5 linked regions of the Nothobranchius furzeri genome follow. The protein of the gene in region 1 purifies or fractionates together with the protein of each later gene. This does not show direct contact. Links are inferred from orthologs where the notes say so. Each region holds a gene or a part of one and is shown on either strand. Other genes may lie near its edges.

Region 1 (4,253 bases):
AAGCCTTCTCTTTGAATAACAAAAGTAACTTCCAGCTCAGCCAGCAGCGTCCCCAGCACCACGATGACAAGAAGCTAGCTTATTTCTCCGCCACAAACGCGCTTCGGCTCTCTACTGCCCCCCGGCGGCCTGGAGGAGCGCGGAGGTACAGTGGGGTAGGGGGGACACAGATGGGGATGGCCTCTCCTACAGCAAGCTCGTTGCTAGTAAACATTATAATAAGTGAGACCAGGTTGACAGGTCAGCTGTAAGCGCCTCGTGATTTTTATCTTGAGAGGCGCTATAGAAATGAAATTTTCTTCTTCTTCTTCTAATCAAATATCTCTTTAAGCGCTTTTTGAGCAGGGAAGGAGCCAAAATATTTTTTGGAGGGGGGGCACAAGGGGTACAAACAATGAACCATGTTCGTTTAATCTATTATTCATTTGATCGTTTATTATTCAACCATAGTAAATCATTGCTGTGTTGTGAGGTGAAACAGCACGATTGCAGAGGAAAAACTTGGAAAATTGGTTAAATTCACTGTTTTCCTGCTTGGAGGCATAACCACGGAGACCAAATATCTGACATAACAAAATCTCGTTGGCTCGCTCTGTGTGTGTGTGTTTGTGTGTGTGTGTGTGTGCGTGTGTGTGTGTGTGTGTGGTTGTATGTGTTAGTGTTAGCACTGTGGCTGTAGCCACCGTGAGGGTTGGCAGCCCAGATGACGAAATTAAGGTGTGGATAACAATCTCTGAATAGGGAGCCTAAGCCACGCCCATCTACTTCCGCACCACGGGTCCACAGAAAAACGAAAAATGAACACAAGTTAACGGGGATAAAAACTTTTTTTTTTTTCCAATTCCGCTTGTTTTGTGCAATGGATTTCACATGATGTCCGTGAAATCTAAAGACATTTTGATACCAAGAACTTGCTTATTTCCGAACAGGGAGAATTGTTATTTTAGATTTTGTGTGAAAACAAGTCCAGGACTACAAATGTGCTTCATAAAAATGACATCATCAAACCAGACACGGAGAAAAACAGAGGGAAAATGGCTGTAAGTTCAACGTACTTATCCTTCTTTCAGGAGGAAAAAAAACCCACAGTAAATCTGGTCATGTGGTGAGTAGCAGCTATGCTAGGGGAGAGGAGCTTATGTGGTGACATTACATATGCGACGTGCTGATTTCTGTTTTGTAGTCATGCTAATTACGAACTTTTACAAGCTGATTAATCTCAAAGTACGTGACCGGCGTGGTCGAAGCACCCACCATTAGTTTTCATTTAAATAGAAGTACAACATATGTGAGATCCAGGGTCAAAGGCAATGAGAATTAGAAAATAGCTCTTTTAGCTCAGGGGTCCCATGAGCCGACCGGAAGGGGAGGAGACTTAAGGCTCCCTGTGTGAAAGCCTCTCAGAGGTGGACGTGGTTCGTTTCGGGGGTATCTCCAGATTGATGTAAGAGGTGATGGATTTTCCAACGCTCCTGAACGCCTCTCTAGTCGCTCTGGGGAATGACGTGTCAGAAAGACCCGGAAGTTGTCATTCTGTCCAAAATGGCTTACCAGACTTTACAGCAGCAATATTTACAGATTCCTCCTGTTACCAGAGCTTACACGACGGCCTGCGTCCTCACCACCGCGGCAGTGGTAAGACCAACCCAACCGAACCTCTCCTTCTTCTCGCTCTCGCGGAAGCTCAGTTCTGTCCTACGAACAGAACCTCCGGCTGCGGTTCTGGAGGAGATTCGTGCCTGAAACTGATGGATCGAGAAGTCCGTTGCTTTCTAGAGCAAACGGAACCGATTTCAGCTCAGAACCGGGACCGAACACAAAGAGCTTTTCATCTGGTTCCTCTGGTTCTGATTCTGGGTCGTGCAGCTGCGGGTAGAATCTACCGGTTCGTTACGTCACAGACTCCTCTGAACACCTGGACTTCAGGCACCAGATCCAACCTGAACCGGAGCAGCCTGAGATGATCTGCTGGTGTTCAGGTTCTGGTTCCGAGGACCGGTACCAAATTTGCTCAAAGAAAGCAACAGTAATGATTTTTTTCTGATAGACGTTTAAATTCTTAGTTTAAAAGTGATGTTAATGATGGTGCGTTCAGGGACCTATAATAACAGGTTAAAGCGAGCATGTCTGGTTCTGGTCACTAACCGCTGCACCTGTAAAGGACAGCTGTATAAAACCCTGATTCATCTCACTATTGTTCACTTTTAGAGAAATAAAACCTTTTGAGTTTTGAAAACTTCTGAAGTTTCCGTCCATCCATCAGATCTTTACCTGTGGAGTCTCAAAATCAGGCCATTTTGTGACGTTCCTGTGTGAATGGATGAATGATTCACTGTAAGGTAAAGAGCTTTGGGAGTCCTCTGACTCAGAAAGGTGTTCAAGTGCAGATTGTTTATTAAGCAGCCGCTAACTAGTGGCCAATGTCACCCAGACAACCCCTCTTCTCCGTTGCTGCTGCTGAGTGGAGGTCTTACTCGTACAACACTGGAGTCCCAAAGTGTTTGATAGAGCCTGAAACTGAAACAGGTTTCAGCTGCAGGACATTTCTGAAACAAGGAAGTGAAAATAAGGTTTTAGTTCTTAAGGTTAGAAGCTAGAATTTAGTGCATCAGTCATTCATCCATTCACACGTTCACCCACTTGTGGTGATGAGCCACAGCTGCTCTGGGGCACACTGACAGAAGGTAGGCTGCCGTACACAGTCCCTCCAACCACCATCGTAAGGAGGATGAAGTTTCCATCCCAAGGACACAACTGACATGACTAGAAGCCTGGATTTGAACCTGTAACCCTCCGATTACAGAGCAGACTCCTAACCCCTGAGCCACCGTCGCCCTGAAACCTGAACTCCTCCAGATCTTCTTTCATCATAACAATTGGACCAAAACCCAGAACCAGACAAGACCTGAATCCCTCCTGTCAGGTACAGAGTGCAGTCAGTGTGGTCTGGCCCCGCCCCCTCAACATGAATGAAAATTCACAATTTTAACACCTTTTAATTTCTCGTTATGGCAGTAGCTTAGACATTACGGCAGTAGCTTAGACGTTACGGCAGTAGCTTAGACGTTACGCCAGTAGCTTAGACGTTACGGCAGTAGCTTAGACGTTACGGCTAGGGCTGCAACAACGAATCGATAAATTCGATGAAAATCGATTACTAAAAGCGTTGGCAACGAATTGCGTCATCGATTCGTTGTGTCGCACAACTCTTCCAAAAGCGCCCCCCCTTCCCGCCCGCCGTTGCGCACAGACCAAAGCAAGTCAGATCAGCGCGAGGGAGAGCCGCAGATCAGCGCGAGAGAGAGCCTGCAGACTTGCGCTGCTGCGAACCGGTTCCGCATTGTTGCGCAGCGATCCAGGCAGCTGCTTCCAGCGCACGGTCCATTCTCAAAGTGGCGCAACCAAAAAACTATAATTAGCACACGATCGTTCTTGTCTGCACATGTTCTCTATTTTCTGTCTTATTTGTGCCTGAAGCGCGCTACTGCGGAGCTCATCACCTGTGCTGTGGTGATGTCACCTCACGCAGCATCGAAAACGCGCTCTGCGCTTTGCGGTCAGGAGATCTCTTTGATCTGCTCAAAAGTAACTGATGAGGTGAAAAGGTAAGAATCCAGGCAACAGTTTTTCTGGAGAATTATGAGGAGATGCAGGAAGATGAGAGACAGACAGGACAGGAAAATAGTTAAATAAAAACAAGAAAACAAAGTAAAATGTAGGTAGATTTATCTCCACTACACGTTTTTACCAGTAAAAAACAATAAGTTATACACATGTCATATTTATACATCTGATACAATTCAGATCACCTTCAAAACTCAGTCACACACCCAGGGCCGTTTCAAGACATTTTGGGGGCCAAGGCAAAATGCCCCCCCCCCTCCATAACTGGGCTCCCCAGAAGCCTCTGTGTAATCCATACCCTCTCCAGGAGTGTTAGTAAAATCCCCTCAGACATTACTGACATGTTCTAATATTATCAGATGAAAAACTAAATTATCAGACATGCTGTCTCATCTGCTTCTTTTCTAAACTTGCAAAAAGTAACAAAACCATTTGAAAGCCACTATTTGTGGATTCTCTGAAAGTTTCCATGGAGTGTGTGACAACTTATTTTATCATTGATCCTATCGTCTAATCTCACAGCTGAAACAAGCATCCTTAATAATCTGTGCACAGGAAGCTTACCGATGCTGTAGTAAAACACAAGGTAGTTTCTTATTAATAAAACCTTGTTGCAGCACTAAAGCATA
Region 2 (3,955 bases), on another chromosome or scaffold:
TATGGGCATATTTTGGATTTCTGAAAAATGCTGAGGGACAGTTAATAGAAGACGGCTATCCCGTTTGCGGAACGTGCAGAAGCAGGTGTCTGCAAAAGGCAGCAACACTTCGAATCTAATGGCACATCTGCGTGACCATCGCCCACGTCTCTACAGCCAGTGCAAGGTAAGTTAACATTAGCATTTTAGCTTAAATGCATGATGTGAGGACTTTTGGCTGAGGGAGAATGCAACGAGTCACCATATACTGCAGCCGCAGCGCCCTCTGCCAGCATTTAAACCGTGTCACGGACACCCTGTTGCTGGATGAAGCATCTCATTTGTTGATGATGAAGAGAAATATACAATTAGTTCCTTGTCATTGATTTGTTTACTTATTCAATGCCATTTATACTTGAACATTTGGATTTGATTACATAGTGTAGTAGTTATTTTAGTAATTTGTTTAAAGTGGCTATTTATTTTAAATACATATTTTTTAAGGTTGACTTGTACAGTGCTCAAGTCAAGTGTGGACTGGAGTTTTAGATTTTCATTTTGATAATGAAGAAAACAAGTATATGAGAAAACAAGTGGTGTTTCTTTGATTTGTTTACATATTGTTTATGTTTTGAATGTTTGGATTTGTATAATTTAAACCTGCACTGACTACTGTAACATGTTCCAGAAAAAGAAGCTATTTGTTCCTTTACTTGTGAAAAGTTGCACTTTTGCTAAGGCTTTGTGTTATTTTAGGTTTAATAAACACTGTTAAACCTTTTCAGAACTATTTCAGTTTGTGTAGAACAGGACTATCAATGCTTTCTGAACATATGCAACACCGTTTAAAAAATACTGCGATAATACCGAAAACCGTGATAATTTTGGTCACAATAACCGTGAGGTTAAATTTTCATACCGTGACAACCCTAATTTGGTTTTTTTCTCCCCAAAGTGATATTTGCAAACATTGGAGGTGTTGAATTTCTCCTTAAGTGTGACTTTGAAATATCAAAATTACCAGTCAATCTATCAAATTTTCATGAACAGGCCCTTCAGTACTGGAAGCTGATATATCAGCACAATTGTTCCCCTCACACAACATCAATCTGGAATAATAGGAGCATCTTAATTCATAGAAAATCTGTTTTCTATCAGGATTGGATGGATCGTGGAGTTTGGACAGTTTACTATCTATTAGATGGTGATGGGAATCCTTCATCATACAATGATTTCACTGAAAGATATGACATTATTTGTTCTAGACAAAAACTCGCCAAGCTTATGAAAGCCATTCCCCCACCAGTGATTCAGATGGCTAAAGCCAGCCTAGCTTATTCCAATTGTATCCTTAGAGAGCCATCTTTAATAACTGAAGGATGTCCTTTTAAGGGAAAGGCATGTAACAACATATTTTTAAGAACGACTCTCACCAAACAATATTTTCCATCACAACTCAAACGAAAACACCTACTTAGAGGCTCTAATTCCAGCTTTTTGATTCAATACATTTCCTTCCCAATTCCACCTAAAGCAAAAGAAAACCACTCCTAAATTTTGCATGCCATTTATCCATCAAATGATTGTTTACACAAGAAGTTCAACATCGACATAAATGCATGCGTCTTTCTGCACTAATGATGTTGAAACAGCAGAGCACCTTTTCCATTGGTGTGATGGATAATACTAATGTTTTTGTTAGCTTTTCAGCACTGGATAATGCAAATATATATATATACACTTCCCCCTGTTAACATTTTAAACTATTTGATTTGGTTTACAAACAGTTAATAAAACTTTACAATTTGGGATTAACAATTTGATTATATTGGCTAAATAGTTTATCCATAAGTGCCGTTACTTGAAAACCTCTCGCTGCTTTAAAAAACGAAGTACTTCTTTTGAAAGAATCATTAAAACATTGCAAATTAGACAAAACACATATCCTATTTGACCTTTTGAAACTGCTTTATGAATAATGTTAAAGTTTACAAATACGTAACAATACTTAAATGTGTTCTTGTTATCAATTTCTCCTTCCCTTTTCCTTCTGTTCATTGACATGGTCTGATACACTTTGTACTTTTTCTCTATTTGATGACTGATAAGTTCTTATCCTTTATACATAAATTTTATTACTAAAGGTTTGTTTACGCTGTATTGTCATAATTTCATAATAAAAAAACTGTTGGGATGTTGGTTGAAGCAGGAATGTGAGCCGTGCTTAGAAACTAGGAGGAAGAAAAAATCAAGACACGCCTTCTTCATTCGTAACAAACACATCCGAACATAAAGTGACAAACCTAAATTCTTTAATTCATCTCCAACAACAACTCGTTTTCATGAATCACGCGGAAGAAACCCGAGTTAATAGTGCGAGTATGACTTAAAGTAGCTTCTAGCCATTTTCTGCGACGCCCGTTCTCGCGACAGACTGGTTCCGACACGTCACCTACCTAAGATGCTCAGAAAAGGCAGGTCCTGGTTCTCCGGGGGACGGTTTTGACCAGATGAGTCACGCACACTGTCCATCGCTGAGCCCAGCACGACGAGCGGACCAAAACTTAGGAAGCTACGGACTTCTGGAAGCTTCCTCTGTCACAGCCGCTTCTGCACACTTATCGCGAGATCTTCTTCTTCTTCGTGTTTTCTGGCGGGTGGCATCTGACTGCTAGGTGCATTTCCGCCACCTACTGTGCTGGAGTGTGAGTCGGAGTAAGAACGTAAAAATAAAAATAAAAAAAATAATTCTATTCAACAGACCACTGTGTTTTAGAAACTCAATAACCAACTTATATTTCCTTCCTTCACCATTTAACAAATTTTTTACATTTATCACTCCACCTCCTATGTTTTTTAGTTTCTCCCTGAGTTGTCCTCTACTTTCCTCATATTTTATGCAGTCACTTAAAACATGTTCCACTGTTTCTCCCCCCACCCCACATCCACACAAACCTGTGGGATGTTTCCCTTATCAGATGCATCGTATTATTAAGCCCAGTATGTCCCATTCTTAATCTTGATATTATTCTTTCATCTCTACTATTCATTCTTATATTTTTCCATTTTCCTACTTTCCCTTGTATCTGAAACAAATGTCTTCCTTTCTGTCGCCTTTCCCACATTCTTTGCCACTCGTCCATTATATGTGCTTTAATGATAGATTTAATTTCAGCGGCACTATATGCATTTCCTTCTACTCCTTTATGTGCTGGTACCCATAAAAATTTAACTTCCGCACCCAATTTCCTTAATCTAAATATGGTCTCATAATCTCATATAATAAAGCTATTCGACTCTTGGTAGACATACATTTAACTGACACTAATACAGATAACAAATCAGTACATATAATTCCTTTTTTAATTCTATTTTGTTCCATCCATTGAAGACTAAATAAGATAGCTATCATCTCCACTGTGTACACAGATAAATGATCTGGAGTTCTTTCCCTAACTACTACTCCTATATGTGGTATTACTGTTGTGTGGTGGGGTGAGTACTCCTCATCTCTATAACATCTTTGAGCTCTTCATTTCAGGAGAGGGAGCTCACCAGCTGCAGGGTATTAGCAATCAGTGGCAGCTGCAGCTTCTCAGGTCATCCGCAGCAGAGCTCTATTTAAGAGGAGAGGGAACCACTACACAGTGCTGGATGATTAACTACTCATGGTAGTATTTTGGCCACTCGTTCTAGGTTGCTTGGTTTTTAAGTAGATAATTGGCTTGGAGAATTTCTTGGATTATTCTTGGACTCTTGTGTTGGATTTTTGGACTCAAGTTTTGTATCCTCTCTCCAGGATTACTGGACAATCTTCCCTGACGCTCTGGGTTTGTTGGATATTATCCTCTATCCAAGAAGCAGAACCTTACTGGATTACTCACCTGGAAAGAACCATACCTTCCTGGACTTCGCGGTTCGCCTCTCCTCTTATGGGCTCGACACACGGGAGGCGACATCGCCTCTCCTCCATTCA
Region 3 (3,515 bases), on another chromosome or scaffold:
TTGAAACTTCCGTTGTTTTATTTGGCTGTGTCAGGTTGGAGGGAATTAAGGTTATTTAAGCGGTTCAGAGTTAATAAAGTGGTAGATATGATGTTTCACAAGGTGCTGCTAGAGTTATGTGAAATCTTACTGCTGATTTTACTATATAAAACATAATAATAATCAACTTCTCCGTCATGTTTGCTCGGAGATGTACGGAGCATCCTGTCCGCTCATTGGTCAGTGAATGAAACCTCCGTTGATTGGTCCTCGTCCGAGCGACAGCAATGAAAAGTTGAAAATGTTTCAACTTTCTGGGATTGCGTCGCTGGGTCGCCTGTGCACGACACGTGCACGAGCGCAAAATTTCACTTGCACGTCTTTCGCGTTTCGCTGAGTAGGAGGGAGACCCGCGATTATCGCTTAGTCGCGCATGTCTCACTGAAAATGAATGGAGGAGAGGCGATGCCGCCTCCCGTGTGTCGAGCCCTTAAGGTGTATAGACAGAGACCCTAAGCTACATTCTGTGACCTAAAATGCTTCGTCCAAGTTAAACAGCTTAAGGGCAATTCTCATCTGTCTTATTTGATCTCATCTGTAGACATTTATTATAATTGGGGATGTCAAATGACTAATTTTTAAATGTAATTAAACATAGGCTGTGAATTCATCAAAATTAATCACTATTTCCAAAAATGACTAAAAAATACCAAATAAAACAAAAAAAATTGAAGACTTGGAAGAGTTGTCCGACACAACGAATCGATGACGCAATTCGTTGCCAACACTTTTAATAATCGATTTTTATCGATTCGTTGTTGCAGCCCTAATCACAGTACATGATAAGATGATCACTTTTACGGAGTTCTGAAAAAGCATACATGATTTCTGAAAGGGTAAAACTCCGGAAAGATACTTTAAGGGGATCAATTTGGAGGTTAAACCACAAAATATTTCTGAGCACGGCCATGCCTGCAGCTCACGACTCCCCCAAGGGATAGGTCCAATGCGGAAAACAAATTTTGCCGGTGTGTGATGACTAATGGGACTTCAATCTTTAAATGCCAGCATCCTCACACACCAAACTGTGTATCACTTGTATTCACAAGATAAAGGTGCTTGCATGCATGCTTCTTTGTATGTGTGTTACTCCTCAGGTACTCCATCCATCTGTGGGATCTGAACCATCCAGGAACTTGGGAAAGCAAAGGCACATATGTGTATTACACAGACTTCATCATGGAGCTGTCTATGCTGTTTCTGGATCTTATGCACCACATCCACATGCTTGTAAGATCTAAAGCTGTTTCCTTATTCTGGGACATCTTTTTACATTCATGTTTTTTTTAAAGCGTTTTGTTATAGAACTCAGATTATCTGTATACACACACACACACACACATAGAATTATTAGAAAAAAAATTGAATGGTTTACATGTGCACTTGTCAGTGTTTTGATCAAATGTGAAGGATTATTTGAAGAGGCATTTGGGAGTAGAAGAGAGGAGACTCGGCTCAGTGAGCTTAGCCAGAGTATCTGAGATCTACGTCTTTATTTAGAATATTTACACAGTTTATTTTCCTCTCCAAATATGTTACTTTCAGCTTTTTGGAAACATCTGGCTTTCCATGGCGAGCTTGGTCATCTTTATGCAGCTGCGCTACCTATTCTATGAGGTCCAGCGCCGCATCCGCAGACACAAGAACTACCTACGAGTCATTAACAACATGGAGGCCAGGTAATAATACATACGTGTACAAAAATGTAGTAATACCATTGTTATTATGTGTGCTTTTGAGTCCTTGTGGGTGCCATTGATTCTTGTTCTAAATGTGTGCAGGTTTGCTGCTGCTACTCCAGACGAGCTGGCAGCCAATAACGATGACTGCGCCATCTGCTGGGACGCCATGCTTACGGCACGAAAACTTCCATGCGGTCATCTCTTTCACAAGTAAACAAGCGCTTCCTTTTTGGTAGCTTCTGTAAAACAAAGTAAAAGCTGCCTATTAGAAACGGTATGCATCCATGTGATTTTGTAGCTCTTGCTTGCGCTCCTGGCTTGAGCAAGATACGTCGTGTCCCACATGTCGAACTTCGCTAAACATCAATGGGGACGGGGTTCAGGTGAGAGGTCAGCCGCAGGGTGGTGCTATGGAGGATAACGTCGGTCCTGCTGGTGCTGCTCTGGAGGGGAGACCACACATCAACCATCACAATCACTTCTTCCACTTCGATGGTAAGTCACCCAAACCCCTAACCGCGACCCGACACGTCTCTGATGGGTTGTGATGTTTATTTATTCTTACAGGATCCCGTATTGCCAGCTGGCTGCCCAGTTTTTCAGTGGAAGTGATGCACACCACTAATATTTTGGGCATCACGCAGGCCAACAACTCTCAGCTCACAGCTATGGTAGGACCACGTTTACTCCCTCTGTGGTTTCATGTGAGATCACACAGAGATCCTGACTGAAGTTGTGTTCTTTTCTTAGTCCTTTTTTAGTTAATAAGTCATTTGTTTTTTAGAATATTTTTACAATAAATGGATTGTATTTTTGTAATAAAAGAAGTGTCAGCATCAAAGCCTCCATCAAATACACCTGATGAAGTTCATTAAACCCCACGTTAGACACTTTCAAGTTAGGAATCTGCTGTAATCTGGGATTGAATAAAACCCACAAGTATTTATTTAATCATTAGGGATGTTCCGATCACGCTGTTTTGGTCCCGACCTGAGTCCGAGTCATTTAATTTTGAGTGTCTGCCGATACCGAGTCCTGATCCGATACTTCTCAGGAAAGCATTAAAATAAGAAGAAATAAAGAAAACATCTGAGTTTTCCTTTAACTTTCACTTTTTTAAGAAGTGCATTGATTAAAAAGCGAGTTTATATTATGAATATATTTAAAAGTGGCAGCGTTGCTCATATTTCAAGTTGTTTACTCCCTCAATATGCAGCTGTGTTGAGAGATGTTTGTTCCCGTGATGGGGCAGGCATGCGGTGCCTTGGCCGTCTGGCTAACTTTTCCTGCACAACACCTGTAGCTACCGAGCAGCTTGGTCCTGCAGGAGACTTAGAAACCCCAACATTCAGCAGCCTGTTTATTTCCCTGTGGGCTGGCTCTGTGCTGTCTGAGTTTGTTGTGAACTGGGAAGGAAACAGGTCGCTTTGTTGACGCCTGAAGGGAAACCCAAATGCAAAAGTAAAGGTTTGAAGGCTGTGAATGCCCAGTATGCAGACATTACAAGTGGCTGTTACACTGCCTTCACTGTTTGGATTAAAATACCACCATATTACGGACAATAAGCAGTAGCCTGCTTGCTAACAGCTGCACCTCGGTGTCTGAATCCCTGCCTGCCGTAAAATCTTGTGACTTTATGGTGTTGTTTTCATACAAGAAACAAATAATGTTGATACAGATGAACTTGTTGAAATTAAAACCAAGTCATTGTTATTCCAATAGAAAATCTCTATTTTGAGATGAATTTAAAATATCATAATTGTTGTTTAAAATCTTTTCCTCCCAATTCCGATC
Region 4 (4,290 bases), on another chromosome or scaffold:
CATTGAAAATAATTTCCCATATCAGTGAACCACATCAGCAAAATGATGCTTGTCTGTCTGTCTCAGAGAACATGCTTTAGGACTTTTAATTCATTCATTTCTCAGTCCATCCAAATCAAAACCACACAAACAGTTTTCAATCTGCAGCATGTTGTTTCTCACTGTCCCACCCCTCCTCTTACATCCACGAGCGACCATTTATATTGAGTAGCCTAATAATAAAAGATGGTCTTCTTCTCAAACCGAATCCAAACCGGACGGGAGAAACTGTCATGTCGCTGTTTTTAAATCCAAGGGAGAAACGAGCCTAGCCTGCCAGGTCCTTTCTCGGTTCCTCCCTTCCTCCCAACGAGCGCGTACCTGAATAGCTGTATCGCTTGAGTCCATTCAAATACCGGGCCACTGCCCCAGACGTCCTCCGCACTGCACAGCACCCTTGGTTAAACGAGGATTTCCTAATCTTCTGTTCAGCAAATAGAGAGCTGAAACCCCAGAATCGACACGGGCCCACTAGCCTACCTTTAAACACGCCGCATCCATAAAAACGTGACTATTATTAACCGAACGCACCTATGCATCCAGATAAACGCGCATCTCCTGGTTTTGACATTTTCATCGAGAATTCCTGCTGTAATAAAGACCAAAGCATTTTTTTTCTTATGTGAAGATGAGCAAATAGGCTACTCAATGTTCACACAGAGCAGGAAATCCCAAGTAAAAGACGGACAGGCCCTTTTTCCCAATCTGAAGCTTATTAAAATAGAAAAATCCCAGGAATATGCAGCTCACCCCAGTGAAGATGTGTCACCTCCCTCCTTCACCAAGCGCTCCCTTTTTAATGAATGCGTTCCCCAAGAGTCTTGCAAATGGAATTAGATGAAGAAGAAAAAAAGCGGAGCAGAGGCAAATAAAAACGCGGCCGCACATCGCAACACATCGCGCTGTGGAAGAGACTCCCCCTGCAGCAACAGCGGCTGCACAGCAACCGGGGATCCAGAATGAAGTCTGCACCCCACAAAATGTGATTTGTGCTTAAAGATACAAAAGTAACAACAATTGAGTTATTTCTTAAAAACATCAACGTCTTTTAAAAATAAAATTTAAAGTAAGATATGTTGTGTGAGTGGGCGTCTATGCTAATTCATTTTGTGTGTGCTTCTTCCAGGAAATAAGACTCAGTTTATACTGTAATAATAATTAATTTTTAAACTATAGACAAAATAAACGCCTCATTCATTAGACCAATGATGCAGATCTAAATCAGTATGCGTGTGCGTTTATTTTATGTATAGTAAAGTAAAGCGTCAGCAGACAGTTCGGGTGTTGTTCGTTAGTTAGCGGTGCCTGTGTCGCCCGTTTAAATCGTCCCTGTAACAAGAAACTAGTACACACTGGAAGTAAAAAAACTGGTGACTGACATTAAATTCAACCAATCGTAGAGCAACAACTTTGACACTAACCAATCAACGTCTACCATGTCAGGCGTTCTGTGTTTTGATGCTTGTACAGCGCTTGGTGTACGAAGAGTGTTAACGATGGCTGCCTCCTTATTATTGCGGTGGCTGAAGAGACTGTTCCTTTTTGTGTTGATATGCCCCCTCTGTGTTCCAGCCTTCTTGAATTTGGAAGAGTTAAACGAAATGAAATACGGGATTCAAATTCTGTCTGACCCCGTGATATTAGGGCAGGTGAGTGGGGGCTATAGATGCTAACGTGTAGCTTGTTAGCTATAATGTAGGCTACAGCTTGCTAGCGATAAATATATTAATTCCTTTAGGTTATTTAATTACAAATACAAATAACATGTTTGTTTAAGCTCAGCAAGAAACGTTAAGATATTTTGCCAATTCGTGCGAAGACAGAAATTGTTAATTTATGAGCGACAACTGTGACAGCTGTCTTGACAACATGTACACACACACACACACACACACACAAAACACCTGACCAATTAACTACTGCCAATATACTGTGTAGCTTCCCTTTAATTATTACTGGGGTTTCATCACAGTGTTTATTTTTCAGACCAAGACAGAGGAAGTAATGATGGTGTCTAATAAATACAAGCAGCTCTATGAATGTCGACTACCAGCCCAGGCTGTCCGCTTTCACCAGGACCCAGCCTCCGAGCCTGACTCTCAGGCCTACACCGGCCCAGACATCCCAGACCTGCTCAAGCCTATGCACAAATCTCCATGTTTACTAAAGGTATTCTCTCACTTTTCAGGTGTCAATCAATGCTTATTTATGTAATTCGCTTATTAAATACGTATGTAATTAAGTGATTAAGAGCTCTGTACAGACCTCATCACACATACTGTCACCAATTAACAATTGTTTCTTTTCAAATTACATAGTTATAACATTGTGCAGGTGTAATCAAAAAAACGTCAAATACTTTCTGGATTATGATCCCTCAAGCTGCTTTTAAACATTTTTTTAAAGACGTGTGTACTTTTTATTAGTTTACATTCATGTGAGATTACATAATTCACTATGTGGACCAAGATTCAGATCAGAAGTGGCATGAGCTAGATCGACCAACTATCAGTACCAGTCAAATGTTTGAGAGAGACACCTGTCACACACCTGTTTAATATGCAGGTGTTGCCAAACTGTTGACTGCACTATGCAAATGACCTCATTTGAAATTTGCTGTCATTATTTCCTGCAGACAAAAGACTGGTGGACATATGAGTTTTGCCATAGTAAACATATCCAACAGTACCACCTTGAAGGTAAAAATATTCTGATTAAGCATTCTTAATTGACTTATTTTTCTAATGACAAATTGTGGGCAAATTATAAATACAAAGGGCAGTTTGCCTGCTGTAAACTTACATATTTATCAGACCTTTTTGAGTGTTGTGTTTTTATCCAGGTCTTCTAATGGATGGATGGATGTGCATGTAACTAAGAAACAAGAGAATTGCTTTCATATAACCATGTTGTTTTCAGTAATGCTGCAATTTAGCCAATACTTTTACTAACTTCATTGTGTTTTATTAAAAGACAAAAATATCTGGGAACTCATCTGGATTCACATCATTAGGATATGAACTGCAGTCAACCTGACCTGTAGATTATACGCTACTGTCTATTTAAAAAATCTGTGTCTTAAGTAAAATGTTTTTTACACTTTCTCTGATGTTATTTTTAAACATCTTACAGACAGCTAACTGTGAATCCTCCTCTCTCAGTAAAAATATCCTGCTAGTTTGTGTTTGTGCTTGTCTTTAGTGTGATCACTGAGACAGGATTGTGCCTGGTATATCAGTCAAGCCACTAAAAGCTGATTCTGTTTACCGTTCATCTGTGCATTTCTAGAAAAAAAAAACAAGTTAAACTTGTGTTCTTACACTTATAGTAGCTGTGCACCTTCTGACAGTTAAAGATTCAAAAGTCTTTAACACACGGAGAAATGTTGACATAACATTTTTGCAAACTTGTATAAGTCTAAAAATACATTTTCCAGGTCTGATTATCGTCTGCATGTTTTTAAGACATGTTTGTGACTGATGTTCTTTTTTTTTAGACACAGAAATCAATGGGGGTGTTCTTTATCTGGGATTTTATGAGTCTGAATTTGACTGGAACAATGAAACGGCAAAGGTAAAGTTGTCTTTATTAACTACAAAAACTAAGAAATAAAACAACTAACTACAGACCCAGGGATATTAGGCAACTTTTTCATATTTTTACATCATTTTCTATATGTGCTAAAATGACCCTTTACAGGGTTAATGAAATTTCACTCAGACCCCCATCACACTCTGTGGCCAGAATACCGCATTTTTAACATTAGAGTGTCGGTCCAGTTTGTTGGACTTTAAAAAAAAAACACTGGAGCTGACCAACCTGGGGTTGCAGTCTGCTTTCAGCATGTTTCCTGCATGTTTTAGATCACGAACACAGCTGATTTGTTTAATTTAGTGCTGGATCACTCCTGTAGACATTAATGAAGGCTGGGGAGACATTTCATCTGTTTGATTAAGGTGTTAAAAAGAGGAATGCACATTAAGTAGATGTCTTTTGTTTTTGGTTCTTCTAAACAGACACTACAGGTGCTAAAAGCAAGCCAAAACACCCAATCTCCCTTTAAATGTAGGCCTCTTCAAACACTGTTGACAGAAAATGCTCAGAAATATCTGTATGTGCTCTTAAAGTTGCCTCTTTATGAGATAAATGACTGTAGGATATGCATTCAGTTTTCCTTCTTTTTTTTTTTTTTTACTTAGCTTCTGTGTGTTTTGTGACATTAAAACCAAATAGCAGTTTTACAATTGCTAA
Region 5 (3,121 bases), on another chromosome or scaffold:
CTGAAGTTCTCTGATCTGGTCATTCTCTAGATTCTGAAACAGAGTGTGACGTACGAGGCCTTCATTCCTGCTAGAGACCTCTGCAGATGCACTGATTAATGAGTGAACCACACCTTAACTGTTAGATGAGGTGAACATATTCATCCTTTCCTCTGATCTGTGGCTCCTCAGCTCCACGTTATGTACAGAAGAGGTCATAACCTTCCTCAACACACGGATGCTCTTCTGGGCATGTTCCACCAGCAAGCCCGAGGGCTACCGAGGTGTGTATGCCCGTTCATTCGTTCATCTGTTATCAGTGTGACCCCGGCTTTCCACAGCAGCCGTCAGCAGCACGTTACTGCAGCAGCACGTCATAGCTGCTGATAGGAACGGCTGTGGTCAACAGAACCTTTTCCACAGGAGCCGTCAGCAGCTGTCAGCAGCACGAGTCGGCCGCGTCTCAGGAGCAGCATGTCGCGGCCTTTACGCGCCGGTTCTATTTCCTACGCGCGACGCCTCTGAAACGGGTCAAGTTCGACATTTTTGGGGAAGGAAAGACAGGAAATCGGACGCGGAAATGGAGAGAAGCTCCCGAAATTTTCAGAATAAAGAACGTACTGCCTTCCGGTCGCTTTACTTTAAAAAAGGTTACTAACTGTGCGGCCCCGTGAGAAGTTATCACCTAGCTAGCGGTCTCCTTTGTTTTTCAGGTCCGTATCGGCGATTATAAAACGGACAGAATATAAAAACACAAACATTTTGGAGCCATGTTGTAGTTTTCTCCTGCTTGTTGTTGTGTTTACTGACGAAGTCACTCGTGTGACTTCGTGCCCTGTCGGTGACAGCTGCTCCTCTGCTGCGTCGCGTCTCGTGGGAAGGGCCAAGCAGCAGCTAGACGTGCTGCTGCAGTAACGTGCTGCTGACGGCTCCCGTGGAAACCTGGGGTAAGTCTGGCTGCTCTGAAAACAACAAACACTCTGATATCACTGGTAAACAACATGTTGAGACCAGGGCTGGGCAATAAATCCACTCTTACCGAGATAATTGTTCCCGTCTCAGGAATGAGATGAGAACATGAAATATGTGTGTGAGCTGGCAACATTCATGTCCTGTAAGAAGCTGCACCACCTTCAGTGGCATACCAGTGTGACTCAACCTGGAACACGTGACATCTAGTGGACAACTGTTGTTCCTGCACACACCTGTAGTTCTAGTCTGTTCATCGCTAGCGAGGTGAAATCCTCTATATGTCGTGATATTAGTTGTAGGCCATGCCGCCCAGCCCTAGTTCAGACCCATGTGGAGTCCCCAAAGCTAGAAGCTAGTGCTGCTTTTCTGTCCTACAGGGACTCTTCTGTTAGCTTGAGTGGCTACAAAAACATTAAGATCCGTGCAGAAGCGTGGTAATAATGGTAGTCCACTGGGCTTTTGTGTAACAATGGTTTCTATACCAAGTGTCCCAAGCGTTGCGGGAGAACACCTACCCATTCCTGGCCATGATCATGCTAAAGGACCGGAAGATGACCGTGGTGGGTCGGCTCGAGGGTCTGATTCAGCCTGAGGAGCTCATCAATCAGGTCACCTTCATCATGGATGCCAACCAGACATACCTGATGTCAGAGCGCCTTGAGCGGTACGTCAGACCAGCTGGAGTTAGTGAGACCGTCGTCACATTCTCTACAGCTGAAGTAGCAGCGAGTGAAGACTGAAGTGTTGTTTCCAGAGAGGAGAGGAACCAGACCCAGGTGCTGAGGCAGCAGCAGGATGAGGCCTACCTGGCCTCCTTACGCGCCGACCAGGAGAAGGAGAGGAAGAAAAGGGAGGAGCTGGAGCAGAAGAAGCAAGAGGAGGAAAAGGTCCGACAGAGTGCTCTTGCAGAGGAGAGGAGACGAAGAGTGAGTCTGGTCGTCTTCGTTTGTACATGGATACGTTGGTCTTCCCCTACATGTCTGATTCCTGTTGTTGTTTTCACTCCAGACACTAGAAGAGGAGAAGGAGAGGAAGTCGGAGTGCCTTCCTCCAGAACCATCTGCTGATGATCCAGAAAGTGTTAAAATAGTGTTCAAGTTGCCCAACGACACACGAGTAGAGAGGCGGTTCCTGTTCGCTCAGTCTCTGACGGTGAGCGCTGGTGTCTTTGGTCTCCTTCACACGCCTCTGGTCAATGTTTGGTTATTAGACGCTGACATGTGATGAAACATCTACATGTTTCTTCTTCCTTCCACAGGTAATCTACGACTTCCTTTTCTCTTTGAAGGAAACTCCAGAGAAGTTTCAGATCGTGACAAACTTCCCTCGCCGAGTCTTGCCCTGCCTTCCGACTGCAGAGCAGCCCAACCCCCCCACGCTGAAGGAGGCAGGACTCAGTCGCTCCGAGGTCGTTTTTGTTCAGGACCTCACGGACGACTAATAGATGACTTACCTCGTCTACATGGAGACACGTTTATCTCTGACCCACCCATGTTGTTTGGTTTGTTTTGGTAAATGGCCGTTTTACAGAAGGGATGGTTGCTATAGAAACTAACCTGGATCACTAAACCACCCTGCATCCAGTGCTCCTTCACTTGTGTTGACAGGGTTCCCATTAGCCTGCAGTCTTGAATTTTATCAAATAAATATTTCTTGAAGTGGTTCCTTGTGTGGAGAAACTGTTGTTGGTGTTAGCTAACAGTTATCCTCCTCCCAGCAGTGAGACTAAAGCTGCAGCACAACCTCCTCGTCCCACACAAGCTGTCACAACCGAGGAAGACTGGTTGTTAGTTACTCGAGGGGAGTTCCCTGCTGTTTCTCTTGGTTCATGCTTTAGCCCACAACCCCTACAGCGATTATCAAGCACAACTAGCACGGTCCAAGTCTGAAGCAGCTGTGATCGAGAGTTGAAAGGATGGGAACCCTGTTTAAATGAGCCATCACTTGTACATAAGTTAAATATTTAAATGCCCACTATTGTTTTTATTTGACTCGTCATGAAACGACCAAATGCAGGTTTGTTACTATGTAAAGCAGACTGCCTCCAGCTCATGAAGTTAAAACGTACAATATTTAACGAAGGCCACAGCTTTTACATGTGGCTCTATGTAGTTTAGTCTGCCCATAGTGTGCCTGTGGTTACTCATAGATGCCTGTTTTGCCTGTAATA

The links.
Region 2: the proteins of derl2 (region 1) and selenos purify together in Homo sapiens (affinity purification with western blotting; 3 studies listed by BioGRID and IntAct, with this or other methods). This does not show direct contact. The link is inferred for Nothobranchius furzeri from reciprocal best matches to the Homo sapiens genes DERL2 and SELENOS.
Region 3: the proteins of derl2 (region 1) and amfra purify together in Homo sapiens (affinity purification with western blotting; 4 studies listed by BioGRID and IntAct, with this or other methods). This does not show direct contact. The link is inferred for Nothobranchius furzeri from reciprocal best matches to the Homo sapiens genes DERL2 and AMFR.
Region 4: the proteins of derl2 (region 1) and os9 purify together in Homo sapiens (affinity purification with western blotting; 3 studies listed by BioGRID, with this or other methods). This does not show direct contact. The link is inferred for Nothobranchius furzeri from reciprocal best matches to the Homo sapiens genes DERL2 and OS9.
Region 5: the proteins of derl2 (region 1) and faf2 purify together in Homo sapiens (affinity purification with mass spectrometry; 5 studies listed by BioGRID and IntAct, counting the BioPlex papers as one, with this or other methods). This does not show direct contact. The link is inferred for Nothobranchius furzeri from reciprocal best matches to the Homo sapiens genes DERL2 and FAF2.

Annotation. Positions count from the first base shown.
Region 1 is NC_091746.1:70,401,916-70,406,168, reverse strand, and holds the start of derl2 (derlin-2), read left to right. Parts: upstream 1-1,445; 5' UTR 1,446-1,500; coding exon 1,501-1,635; intron 1,636-4,253.
Region 2 is NC_091749.1:6,254,025-6,257,979, reverse strand, and holds the start of selenos (selenoprotein S), read right to left. Parts: upstream 2,809-3,955; 5' UTR 2,512-2,808; coding exon 2,436-2,511; intron 1-2,435. UniProt on the Homo sapiens protein: Involved in the degradation process of misfolded endoplasmic reticulum (ER) luminal proteins. Participates in the transfer of misfolded proteins from the ER to the cytosol, where they are destroyed by the proteasome in a ubiquitin-dependent manner.
Region 3 is NC_091749.1:54,415,031-54,418,545, forward strand, and holds part of amfra (E3 ubiquitin-protein ligase AMFR), read left to right. Parts: intron 1-1,136; coding exon 1,137-1,269; intron 1,270-1,584; coding exon 1,585-1,718; intron 1,719-1,820; coding exon 1,821-1,931; intron 1,932-2,019; coding exon 2,020-2,216; intron 2,217-2,288; coding exon 2,289-2,392; intron 2,393-3,515. UniProt on the Homo sapiens protein: E3 ubiquitin-protein ligase that mediates the polyubiquitination of lysine and cysteine residues on target proteins, such as CD3D, CYP3A4, CFTR, INSIG1, SOAT2/ACAT2 and APOB for proteasomal degradation.
Region 4 is NC_091743.1:48,732,051-48,736,340, forward strand, and holds the start of os9 (protein OS-9), read left to right. Parts: upstream 1-1,484; 5' UTR 1,485-1,535; coding exon 1,536-1,688; intron 1,689-2,025; coding exon 2,026-2,208; intron 2,209-2,674; coding exon 2,675-2,738; intron 2,739-3,535; coding exon 3,536-3,612; intron 3,613-4,290. UniProt on the Homo sapiens protein: Lectin component of the HRD1 complex, which functions in endoplasmic reticulum (ER) quality control and ER-associated degradation (ERAD).
Region 5 is NC_091742.1:44,986,931-44,990,051, reverse strand, and holds the end of faf2 (FAS-associated factor 2), read left to right. Parts: intron 1-171; coding exon 172-263; intron 264-1,437; coding exon 1,438-1,615; intron 1,616-1,705; coding exon 1,706-1,877; intron 1,878-1,959; coding exon 1,960-2,103; intron 2,104-2,209; coding exon 2,210-2,392; 3' UTR 2,393-2,614; downstream 2,615-3,121. UniProt on the Homo sapiens protein: Plays an important role in endoplasmic reticulum-associated degradation (ERAD) that mediates ubiquitin-dependent degradation of misfolded endoplasmic reticulum proteins.